Linked DNA regions of Cricetulus griseus. The protein of the gene in region 3 purifies or fractionates together with the protein of the main gene of each other region. This does not show direct contact. Links are inferred from orthologs where the notes say so. Each region holds a gene or a part of one and is shown on either strand. Other genes may lie near its edges.

Region 1 (3,657 bases), on a different chromosome or scaffold from region 3:
TGCTCTAAGGGCAGCCAGACCTGGATACTGAAGGCCTTGTCACCAAGCACGATACAGACACACAGGGTGAACCCAGAGACACCATAACCAATGGTAAACACGGTGTTTCATGGCAGTGCCTTAGATCCTTTATACACCTGTGTGGTGATAAATATTCACTATTTATAGTCACAGCTGCATAGGTTGCCCTCAGTATTGCTGACATGACAGATAGAAAACAATGAACAATTGCTGAGTGAATGAAAGGTTGGTGGTAACTTTGACTTATCTGGACCAAAGCTAACCACTACAGTTTCTGGACTATTATTCACTTTTACTGACATAAGAAAAATCAGTCATTTGTACTTGTACTAAAATAGAAAACTCAAATCATGGCTTCCCCCTCTGGCAAAGGGAACTGAGACCTGAGGGAAAACACATCTGACACCCTGATATGTTTTCAATTATTTTATCATAGATACTTTTAGAATACTGATGTTACTATATTTGGGCTTTGATATTCAATAACTAGATAAAGGGAAGTGATGGCACATGAGGGGTTACTGAGTCTCCAGTCACATGTCATGTGTTTCCTCACGTTTTATGTGCCCCTCCCCCCCAGTCTGTAAGTGGCCAATGTTAGTATCCCATCATCCTGAAGCCCATCAAATTATTAGATGTGTGAATGCAGTACAGTTCTCTGTGACCTGAAAGCTGCATGAGGTCCAGGTACTGCTGGGAGGTACTGTGGACCTAACTGGTGAGACCTTAAGTCAAGCCTTATTACCTCAAAGGACAGTATGGGACCTCAGCCCCTGCTGCTGCTGCTGCTCCCCAGATTCTCATCTACTCCTGTCTGGCAGTCTTATCAGAGGCCCAAAGCAACAGAGGAACCCACCCCTGGACTGCCACCTCCTAAACCATGAAACAACCTCTGGCATTCTGCTGCAGCAGCAGAAAGCTATCACACTTCTAAAGACTAACCAACTGTTTTTCATTCTCTTGAAAGGCATTTTAGACTTTGCTGCTGTAACAAACCCTGCAAAACTGTGGTTGATAAGCAGCAGAGATTGGCTTTTTGTGGCCTGAGACTTGAAAGTCCAAGCAGGGATGCTGGAGAGGCAACCCTGAGGACACTGGAAGCAAGGCAGACTCCCAGGTCTATTCACTCACAAAGGCTCCTCCCTCACAGCCCAGGCACTGCTCAAAGACCCCACTATTTTGTGACTTTGAGGGTTGGCACTTCAACATGGGGATCTTAGAGGACACAAACCCCAGAACATGGTACTGAGGGAAGGGGAGAAAGGATGAGCACTCAAGAGACAGGACTATGATTTATGCTCACATCCCTTTGATAGCTGAGGGATCCTGCAATAACACACTTACACAGAAATGGCGACCTTCTCAGAAGCCCTGCCCATCTGTCAGTATTTTTATTAGTTACTTAACATACACACATCTATAAGCAGCACTTTTACTGGTTCAAGGTGTGACAGCCCTGTGATACCTGACAGAATGTTGTGGGCCACTTTCTCGCTCCATTCGGGGAGTTCTTTCGATTTTTCTTCTGAACTTGGCTCACAGGGCACAATCTGACTCAAATTAACTTCTTCACTTGAAGAGTCTTTAGTCTAAACAGTAAAAATGTTTCAAAATGTAAAGGTTAGTGAAATGCAAAGGAAACTGAAAGCATTATATACTAAACTGCCAACAAATACTAGCTGAGGTTATTGAAAACATCCAACTTGCTAAAGAGAGAAAACCAGAATTGTCACAAAACTGAAAAGGGTCTGGTTTTAAACAAGCTCCTACTGATGTGATGTAAGTAGAACTGTAACTCCAACACAGCATCTACTAAATAATATTCAAGCTAGCCTGTGTCTTCTCTCACTGGTTTATGACCTGTGTCACATGGATATCACTCCTCAAACTTGCATGTATATAGTACGATAAGCTTAAAAGATTAAATGACTCAGCCAATAAAGAAGGATGTACCCAAGTAAATTGGTTTTGATAGAAGAAAAAGTTCAATTTGAAACCTGAATATCTAGATACACAATGACCTGCCATTCCACTTAACTGGGAACACCAGCACTGCATAGACAACTGCAAAGATTCTGGCCAACACCCAAACTCACAGCCAAGGGCACCATTCTAAGAACCCTCAAACAGGATAACCATAGACCTCAAAGTGTCATAAAATAACTTGAAAAAAGAAACAAAGGTTTTCTGTGCCCAACAGATTACAAAGGACTTGACTTACAATGAACAAATAAATGGAAGATTGTGAAATTTATACACATACACAAACACAAACAAAACAAAATCCCCCCAAACAAACCAACACTTCTTTATTGGAGAAGAGCTACCTGCCAGTAAAATGCAAAGAAAATCTGTATCACTAGGGCCAATGTCTCCAATATATAAATCTCTTGAAGACAGAGAAGAAAAAGATTAATGACCTAAGAGTAAAAATGGGTGGAGAGGAATAGATACAGAGTACCCAACATCATCCAAAACAAAGTGAATGTAAACCACAATATTCTAAAATACAATTTCTTGACTATCACATTGCCAAGACGTAAAAAAACAAAGCAGTGACCACCCATTCTCACCCAGGCCACGAGGAATGAGTATGCAGTTCCCCTGTCTGCATGGGATCCAGTGGATGCCTGAAGTCACAGGCAGTGCTCAGTTCTGCAAATATTAGGAAATACTAGAACTAAGTTTTTCCATGCATGTGATATATAGTGTATATGATAAATTAGAAATTATCAACAAGGAATAGTAGGTAGAATAATTAAGACAATGTTTTACAAGAGCAAAAGCAGAATGAGTTTTCTTCTTCACAATTTCACAGACAATCCACTTTTCAATTATTTATTGTTTATTTGGGGAAGGAGTGCAAATCCAGAGCAAGCTCTCAGCCAACCAACAGAGGGAATATTAAAAAAAAAAAAAAGTATGTGGTCCTTAGGGTAAAAATAAAAATCTTTTGAAAAATTGAATTAGAGTCCGTCTCAAACACAAGGTGAGCACAAATGTTTGGCAACCATGTTTGGGGTTGTGACCAGTTTGTGACATGCTGTTGTGGGGTGTGGCCATCAGATTGTGGACACACTTGCCACTACCTCTTTAACTTGCCTTTTTCCCACGCTTTCCTTTACGCCGTGCATCCTTACTGCCTTGGTCTATTGAAGAACCTGAAGAACCCGCCTGCCTGACATAGGTGCCAGAAGCTTCCTTCGGTGACTCAGAGGGGTGTCTTGCTCTCCCGGGGATCTGGAATTCATCTTCTCCTTCTGCTCTATTCCAGTTTGCCTGGAGCATAAAGGACTAGGCTTAGCTCAGCTGGCCTTTACAGGACATTCCTCCAGGTACATTGCACCATGTGCTCATAACACACACGTTCAAATACCAATGTCTGACTGTGTAGGTGACTACTGTTGCTGTTTTCCTTAGTGTGTATACACATTGTGTGTGATTATCCATGTGTGTATCCATGGGTGCTCATTCCATGAAGCACATGTGACAATCACAGAACAGTCTTGGATGTTGGTCCTCACCTTCAAACCACTGTTGTTTTGAGAGGTCTCTTGGATGCTATTTGGCCAGGAATATCTTGGATTCCTGGAGATCTTGCTGCCTCTGCCCTGCTAGCTTGACAGGGCTGTGCTG
Region 2 (2,804 bases), about 32 Mb from region 3:
TGTTGAATATAATCTAAAATATGGACAAAAATCTCAGCTCAGCTTATGCAGGTAAAGTACTTACGAGGCATCTCACAGCAACAGCCCAGGGATGAGTTGGACCACAGGGCTGAGAACCTATCAATCATGAAGATCCTAGCAGACAGCCTTAAGTGAAGCTTGGATTCAGTCATCACTTGAGAGGGAAGGAGGTGGGGACTTCATCCCTCTGATCACTGTGGGGCAGTTATTCTCTATCACTTCCTGGGGCTCCAATCCCCAGGAAATGTCTTGGAATTCATTTTGGCAAAGTCCCTTCTACTGAGAAAGATGCTCTAGCTCAGTGTAGAATTAGCATGAGCCAAGGGAACCTGGTTCTTGAGGATGTACCTGCTCTTCTGCCACCAACCCCATCTTCCCAGTGACACACCCTTTCTCCTCAACCCACCAACTTCCAAACACTCAGCAGAGGACTCCCTCCCGTCATTTCCCAATGCACCATGAGGAAACCTGCAGCCACACCAAACAAAAGGGTACCCATAAGGCAGGTGGTCTCCAGATCCCAGGCCCATTCGCCGTTGTCTCCACTGGTAAACTTCCCAGCCTCCCTCCAAGGAAAAGAAAAAGCAGCTAAACAACATGGGATGAAGTATACATTTTAAAAATTGTTTAATGGAACATAAACTCCTTTAGAAAAACATTCAGCCAGGTGATAACACCCATAGAAAAGAACACCAATCTTGTGTTTATCTTTTTTAATTTGGCATGTTATTTGCATTTATATTAAAGCAAAGTGCATCTTTTCTTTATTTTTGTTTATACACATTGCACAATACATAAATAATGATGCTTATAAAACGTCTTTATATTTACAAGTAATAATATATTTATATATAACATAAAATACATTTTTCTTTAATAAATCTCAGCTTTTTTTAAGGAGTCCTTTCTCTCTCAAAGCACTACAATGCTAAATTTCCAATGAGAAGGCTTCTCTTGTTCATTTAAACCTTTGTAGTTAGAAAAATAGCTTATGTTAAAGTCTAAACATGCTCATTGAGCTAAGAACAGTGTCAAAGTATCATACGAGTGTATGAGTTGAGAGAAGAGCTGGGAGTCAGCCTAGGATGGTACCTTCGCTATGACAGGCCACACCCTTCTTGTTGGGAAGGGGGCCACTGAGCAGTTCCCTCCCAGGGATGCCCCTCCCTGGTCTATAGAGCTCAACATACAGGCTGGGGATGGGGTGCTGAGCTGACTCTCCACATCTGGGAGAAACCTGATGAAAAACCACAGCAGGGGGACCGGCTGAAGGGCCCGAGGGTCCTGGGTTAGCAATACTGTGACTGGGCTGTCCCTGCAGCCCTTAGGAAGCCCATCTCAAGAAAGAGATCCAGGAGCAGATGGCCAAAAAAGACAGACATGACAATGGCAGCGGGGTGACAGGAGGCAGTAAGACAGGGATGAAAACAATTGGTTCTGGTTCAGCCTCTAGCAGGCTGGCTTCTCAGAAGCCTGTGGATAGGCCCGTGTCCTAAAAGGGGGGAGGCAGGGCAGGGGCTTCGGCAGGCTGGGGCAAAGTTTGGCAGCTGCTGGAACACCTGCTGCCAGTCTGCCCAGGTACTGCCTCTGCCCCACTGAGCATGTCCAAAGGGCTCGAGAGACAAACAGCTTGAAACTGCAGACTCTCAGCTGGGGACATTCATAAGGAACACAAAAAGCATCTCCCCATCTGCCGTTCATGCACAACCCTACACGACCGAACATCCACTCCTGACAATGCCGATCCGAAGGGAAGGCAGTACCCACTTTCATATACCATATTTGGCAGTGCTGACTTTTGCTTCCCATTTTCATGTCGGGGTGTCCTGTCGACCACACCCACCACCTCAAAAAAATAAAAAAATAAAAAAAACCAAAACAAACTAATTCATCACAAGCTATTTCTCAAAGAACAAGACAAAACACAAACAAGGACAACGAGAAGGAAAAACAAAAATAAAACAAAAACAAAAAACAACACCAACAATGGTAACAACGAAACCGACCAAAGAGTTTGCATGAAAAGCAAGCACTCGGGAGGGAAAGGTTAGCAGCAAGTAGTTTGAATGGTGGCCTGCTCGGCTCACGCTCCGTCCTGTCCTCTTCTCCCCACACAACTACCGGCTGTTGAAGATGACCTCCAGCCAGCACGGGCAGCTGCTGATGAACTGGCGGGTGTAGCACTGGCCCCAGCCCTTCACGAAGCTAATCTGCACGGTGAAGCCCGTCCATGGCTGCTGCATGAACTCATGGTCATTGGGCCGCTGCAGGCTGTATGCTTTCTCATAGTCGAAAGCCTTGATGGAGAAACCAGGGAACACCTTATGCACCAACAGCGTCCTGGAGTCCGGGTTGTCCAGTGTGGCGGACTTGATGAAGATGGGGTAACTGCTACGGTTGTACACCCACACGCCATCCACTTCCCTCGTCAGCTGGATGCCACAGCCAATCTTACTCCGTACTTTCTGTACCAGCTGACTCTTGTTGTCCGAATTGAGCTGTCCGAGGCAAAAGCCATTCCCCTGAGGTAGATCATAGAAGATATCCAGGGAGGGCTCTTGGACACAGTAGAGCCTCCCCACTCTCGTCTTCTCCTCCCAGTATGCCACCACGCACCAGTGTGACCGATCCCCAGGTTCCAGAAGAAGTTGGGAATCTACAAAACAAAATGGCAGACAGTTGGCGGTGGTGACCAGGTTCTTTTCCCTCCTGAAATCAAAAGACATACATATACACTTGCTCTTGAGTCCCCATAGCCAGCACAAAACAAAAAGAGGGAGTAA
Region 3 (3,657 bases):
ACAAGTAATACTGTTTCATTTTGATAATACCTTCCTTACCTGTTGGAAGGAATCTTCAAATAAAGTCTGTCGGGACACATTGATCTTTACATGACTGGGTAGTGCATTAGACTAAAAACAAAAATATCACAGCATGTAAGCCACAGCATATGTATTCCATAACTATCAGACTAAATTATTATAAATGAGATTTATTTACCACTGTAGTACCTGGCACAAGTAACGGAAGTGAGCAAGCTTCCACCTGAAGCTGCGTTCGTAAGCAATCTGTGGACCACCTTTAGTTCTAAAAAGAAGCATAACAAATAACACTGTAATATAATTATGAAACAGTGTGCGTCAGATTGTAGTATGACTAAAGAAAGCTATTTACAGTCGATAAATGGTGTATTCATTAGGACAATAGAGGCTTGAGTCATGAAGATTGTCCCATCAGCAGAACATATGCACGAGAGAGACTCCAAGTAGGAACAGGTCTATTGAGAAGCCCTTAGTTTATAGAAGGCCTAAAGTCTACTACAGACTACTTAAAAAGAACGTTGGATAATTCTTTTTTTTTTTTTTTTGTACTATTGTTTTTGTGTGATAAACTATAAGCAGAATTCTGATAATTCTTAAAGCTGAAGAAGTCAAGGATTCTAGATAAGAGGAACAGGAGGAAAAAAAAAAAAACCTAGACCTCATCTTAAACCTGATCTGAACAAAAACAAAGCAAAGCATAAGTAATTCTTGGAGCAAGCTGGACAATGAGAAAAGAGGCAGACACAAGAGTCAGCTGAGAATGAGACCTGCTTCTCCTGCCGAGAGAGTCTTAACAAAAAATACACGGAAATTCAGGAACTTTCATGGTAGAGTGAACACAAAATGCTGTCTTCTGCTGTCACAGTCATGGAAGTTCATTCACCCAAGAAAATTTATCAAATACTTAACAGGGACCTGGCATTCTCTAGACAATGAAAGCATTACTCCCTAGAAACATGGGGAAAGAGTGGCTGTTTTGTATATAATGTACCATTGAAGGAAATAGATAAAAATGAAAAGTAAACTACATATTGTGTGTTTTAAGGAAATAAATGGCTAATAACTTCTTAAAGGGGCCTTGTTAAAAGAAAAAAAACAAACAAGAAAATAATAATATAATCTCTCTCTCAAAGGTCATGGGAAGATAAAAATGAGCTAACATGTCTAAAATGGTTAGAACAATCTTTGGCATATAGTAGTTGTCACACACATATATGCTAATGTTATTATATACAAAATATATATTATTAAATAAAGAAATGCCATACCACAAATCCATTCTGGAATTATATAGAGCAAAACCAGTTATAGGTAGATATTACTTGTGCATGTTTTCTTGAACATGGCTTGTTTCTAAATTTGAAGCTGCATTAGAGACTAGACCTCCTGTATTCACTACATAATATTTTTGAAGTTTGGGTTTCCACTTACACAGATGACTTCCCATTGCGAGGATCTTTGAATGTTGTTGTTCTTGTGTTATGATCAACAAAGTACCTAACACCTTCCCGAGTATACCTGATTTCCCAGCCTTCTGGCAGGGGTTCTTCATTTGGTAAGCTGTAAGACAAAAAAATCACAATCATATGGTGGGTATGTTTCAGGTACTTATAGCCCACTGACTCCATCCATCTTCTCATGTGTAATAACTTAAGACTTTACTATACACATACCCTTGAGTTCTGGGGTCTTCCCATTGGGTTGTTTTTGTATTATGATTCACAAAGTAAACTCTGTCTGTTGAATCCACTCTTTTTTCTAAAACATAAAGTATGAATAACATTCAATAACAATTTGATACCTATATACCTTATACATATTTTTATAAATACCATATCAGCTTACCCCATCCTGGTGGTAAAGGTCCATATGGATCATTTTCTGCAGCTAACATTGAAGCCTGGTTGAAAAAGAGGTTGCAATATAAGATAGCAGTTTTAGCCAGAAGTATACTAATATACTAAGCAATTAACAATCATATCTTAGAATTTTTAAAAAATGTTATAAAGGAATATGAATACAACAATTTCAAGAAACAATGTTCAAAAATATTATGAAGAGCAGCCACCAGCTGATATAATTATTAGTAAATCATTTAAAAATAGTGTAGTAAAATCAAAAAGCTAATTTCCTAGTCCTTTTTAAGGAGTAAGAGGAGATGGGTAATTAGAGATAGAGATTATGCCATTTAAAGGAGACAATATTATTTGCTCAAAAATAGGTAAATCATTATAGTATAATTATTCTGCAAAATAATTATTCAATGGTAATATGTATACATCTTGATGAATATTTGATAGGACTGCCACCAGACAGCACTAAATATCCATTTTTATCTTATCTTTCTTGATAATGTAATCACTAGCTTTGTTTGAGGTAACAATGTGCCCATAAGGAATAGTCCACTGAATCTGGATTAGTAAAGTGACCAATTCTAGCCAATGAGGCAGAAGCAGGAGGGTTTCCTTTGCTAAACTGCTAAGCAAATAGGCAGGGGCTTGCTAAGTACAAGGGCCCTGCTACAGGAAACCTCTCCCCTTTCAGTTTACCCTTTCCTTTCATGGCAGAGACTCTGGAAATCAGGCCAAGGGTAGAAGCTCTTTATGTTCAAAATAGCAGGCAAAATGCATGGCAATAGAGGGTGCAGGAAAGATGCATGGCAACAGCCGGTAGAGATGGTGAAGGTAATGTGCATGACAATAGATGGTAAAGGAAATCTGCATGGTAAAAGATGGTACTAGTAAAATGCATGAGGAGATGGTGCTGGTTCAGTTGGTGACAATAGATGGTGTAGGTAAGCTGCATGACAACAGACGGTGCAGATAAAGTGCATAACAATAGCTAGTGTAGGCAAGAGGCATGATAATAGAGCAGGCAAGATGCACTGAAATAGATGATACTCTAAAAGGCAGAACTCAGCTGCTTGATGGCACTGTAAGCCAGAGAATGATTCTTTCTTGTTCCAGCCCTGGTATTCTATTGAAGTAGCTTAATTTGCATCCATTTAAGAGGACTGTGCTACTTAGTAGAAAGTATTTTGATACATACCCAATACCTAATTTTGTCCTGTTTACAAACTTTAATGCACACGAAGTCCTACACAGAACAAAACAAATGTACTATATACAGGATGAACATCCTAATCTAAAATCTAAAATATTCCAAAGACAGAAAAATTTCAAGAATGCTTATTTATTTAGACAAACCAGAAGTAATATTAAAGATTAGCCAAAAATAAAATGAAGCAAACAAACTATTGAATGTACTCTACATATTTTAGAAAGCCACCAAAGTAAGGGAAAAGTAACATTAACACCTCTAACACCTTGTAAATTGCTAATTACCGAATAGAGGTATCGTTGGTTGAATTGTTGCATAGCTCCCTGCAATTGATTCCGCTGAGATTGCCACTGTTCAAAATTTCGAACAGATTCCATGGTAGGCCGCTGCCATGTGGTTGTTCTGGTGTTATGATCCACATAATAAACTCTTCCACGATCATCAACTCTTCTTTCCCATCTACCACAAATAAGCAATAAAAATGAAGCAATGAGTCATTTCCTGTTAAATTAAAACATACATATTTTTACTTTATCTATTGGCATTGCTAGGGATGTGTAGGGGACACCATACACA

The links.
Region 1: the proteins of Wwp1 (region 3) and Spart purify together in Homo sapiens (affinity purification with mass spectrometry; 5 studies listed by BioGRID and IntAct, counting the BioPlex papers as one, with this or other methods). This does not show direct contact. The link is inferred for Cricetulus griseus from reciprocal best matches to the Homo sapiens genes WWP1 and SPART.
Region 2: the proteins of Wwp1 (region 3) and Smad7 purify together in Homo sapiens (affinity purification with western blotting; 3 studies listed by BioGRID, with this or other methods). This does not show direct contact. The link is inferred for Cricetulus griseus from reciprocal best matches to the Homo sapiens genes WWP1 and SMAD7.

The regions. Positions count from the first base shown.
Region 1 is NW_023276806.1:96,034,032-96,037,688, forward strand, and holds part of Spart (spartin), read right to left. Parts: intron 3,301-3,657; coding exon 3,124-3,300; intron 1,611-3,123; coding exon 1,487-1,610; intron 1-1,486. UniProt on the Homo sapiens protein: Lipophagy receptor that plays an important role in lipid droplet (LD) turnover in motor neurons.
Region 2 is NC_048595.1:164,538,738-164,541,541, forward strand, and holds the end of Smad7 (mothers against decapentaplegic homolog 7), read right to left. Parts: intron 2,678-2,804; coding exon 2,139-2,677; 3' UTR 625-2,138; downstream 1-624. UniProt on the Homo sapiens protein: Antagonist of signaling by TGF-beta (transforming growth factor) type 1 receptor superfamily members; has been shown to inhibit TGF-beta (Transforming growth factor) and activin signaling by associating with their receptors thus preventing SMAD2 access.
Region 3 is NC_048595.1:132,927,805-132,931,461, forward strand, and holds part of Wwp1 (NEDD4-like E3 ubiquitin-protein ligase WWP1), read right to left. Parts: intron 3,541-3,657; coding exon 3,366-3,540; intron 1,922-3,365; coding exon 1,867-1,921; intron 1,780-1,866; coding exon 1,695-1,779; intron 1,582-1,694; coding exon 1,453-1,581; intron 287-1,452; coding exon 211-286; intron 112-210; coding exon 40-111; intron 1-39. UniProt on the Homo sapiens protein: E3 ubiquitin-protein ligase which accepts ubiquitin from an E2 ubiquitin-conjugating enzyme in the form of a thioester and then directly transfers the ubiquitin to targeted substrates.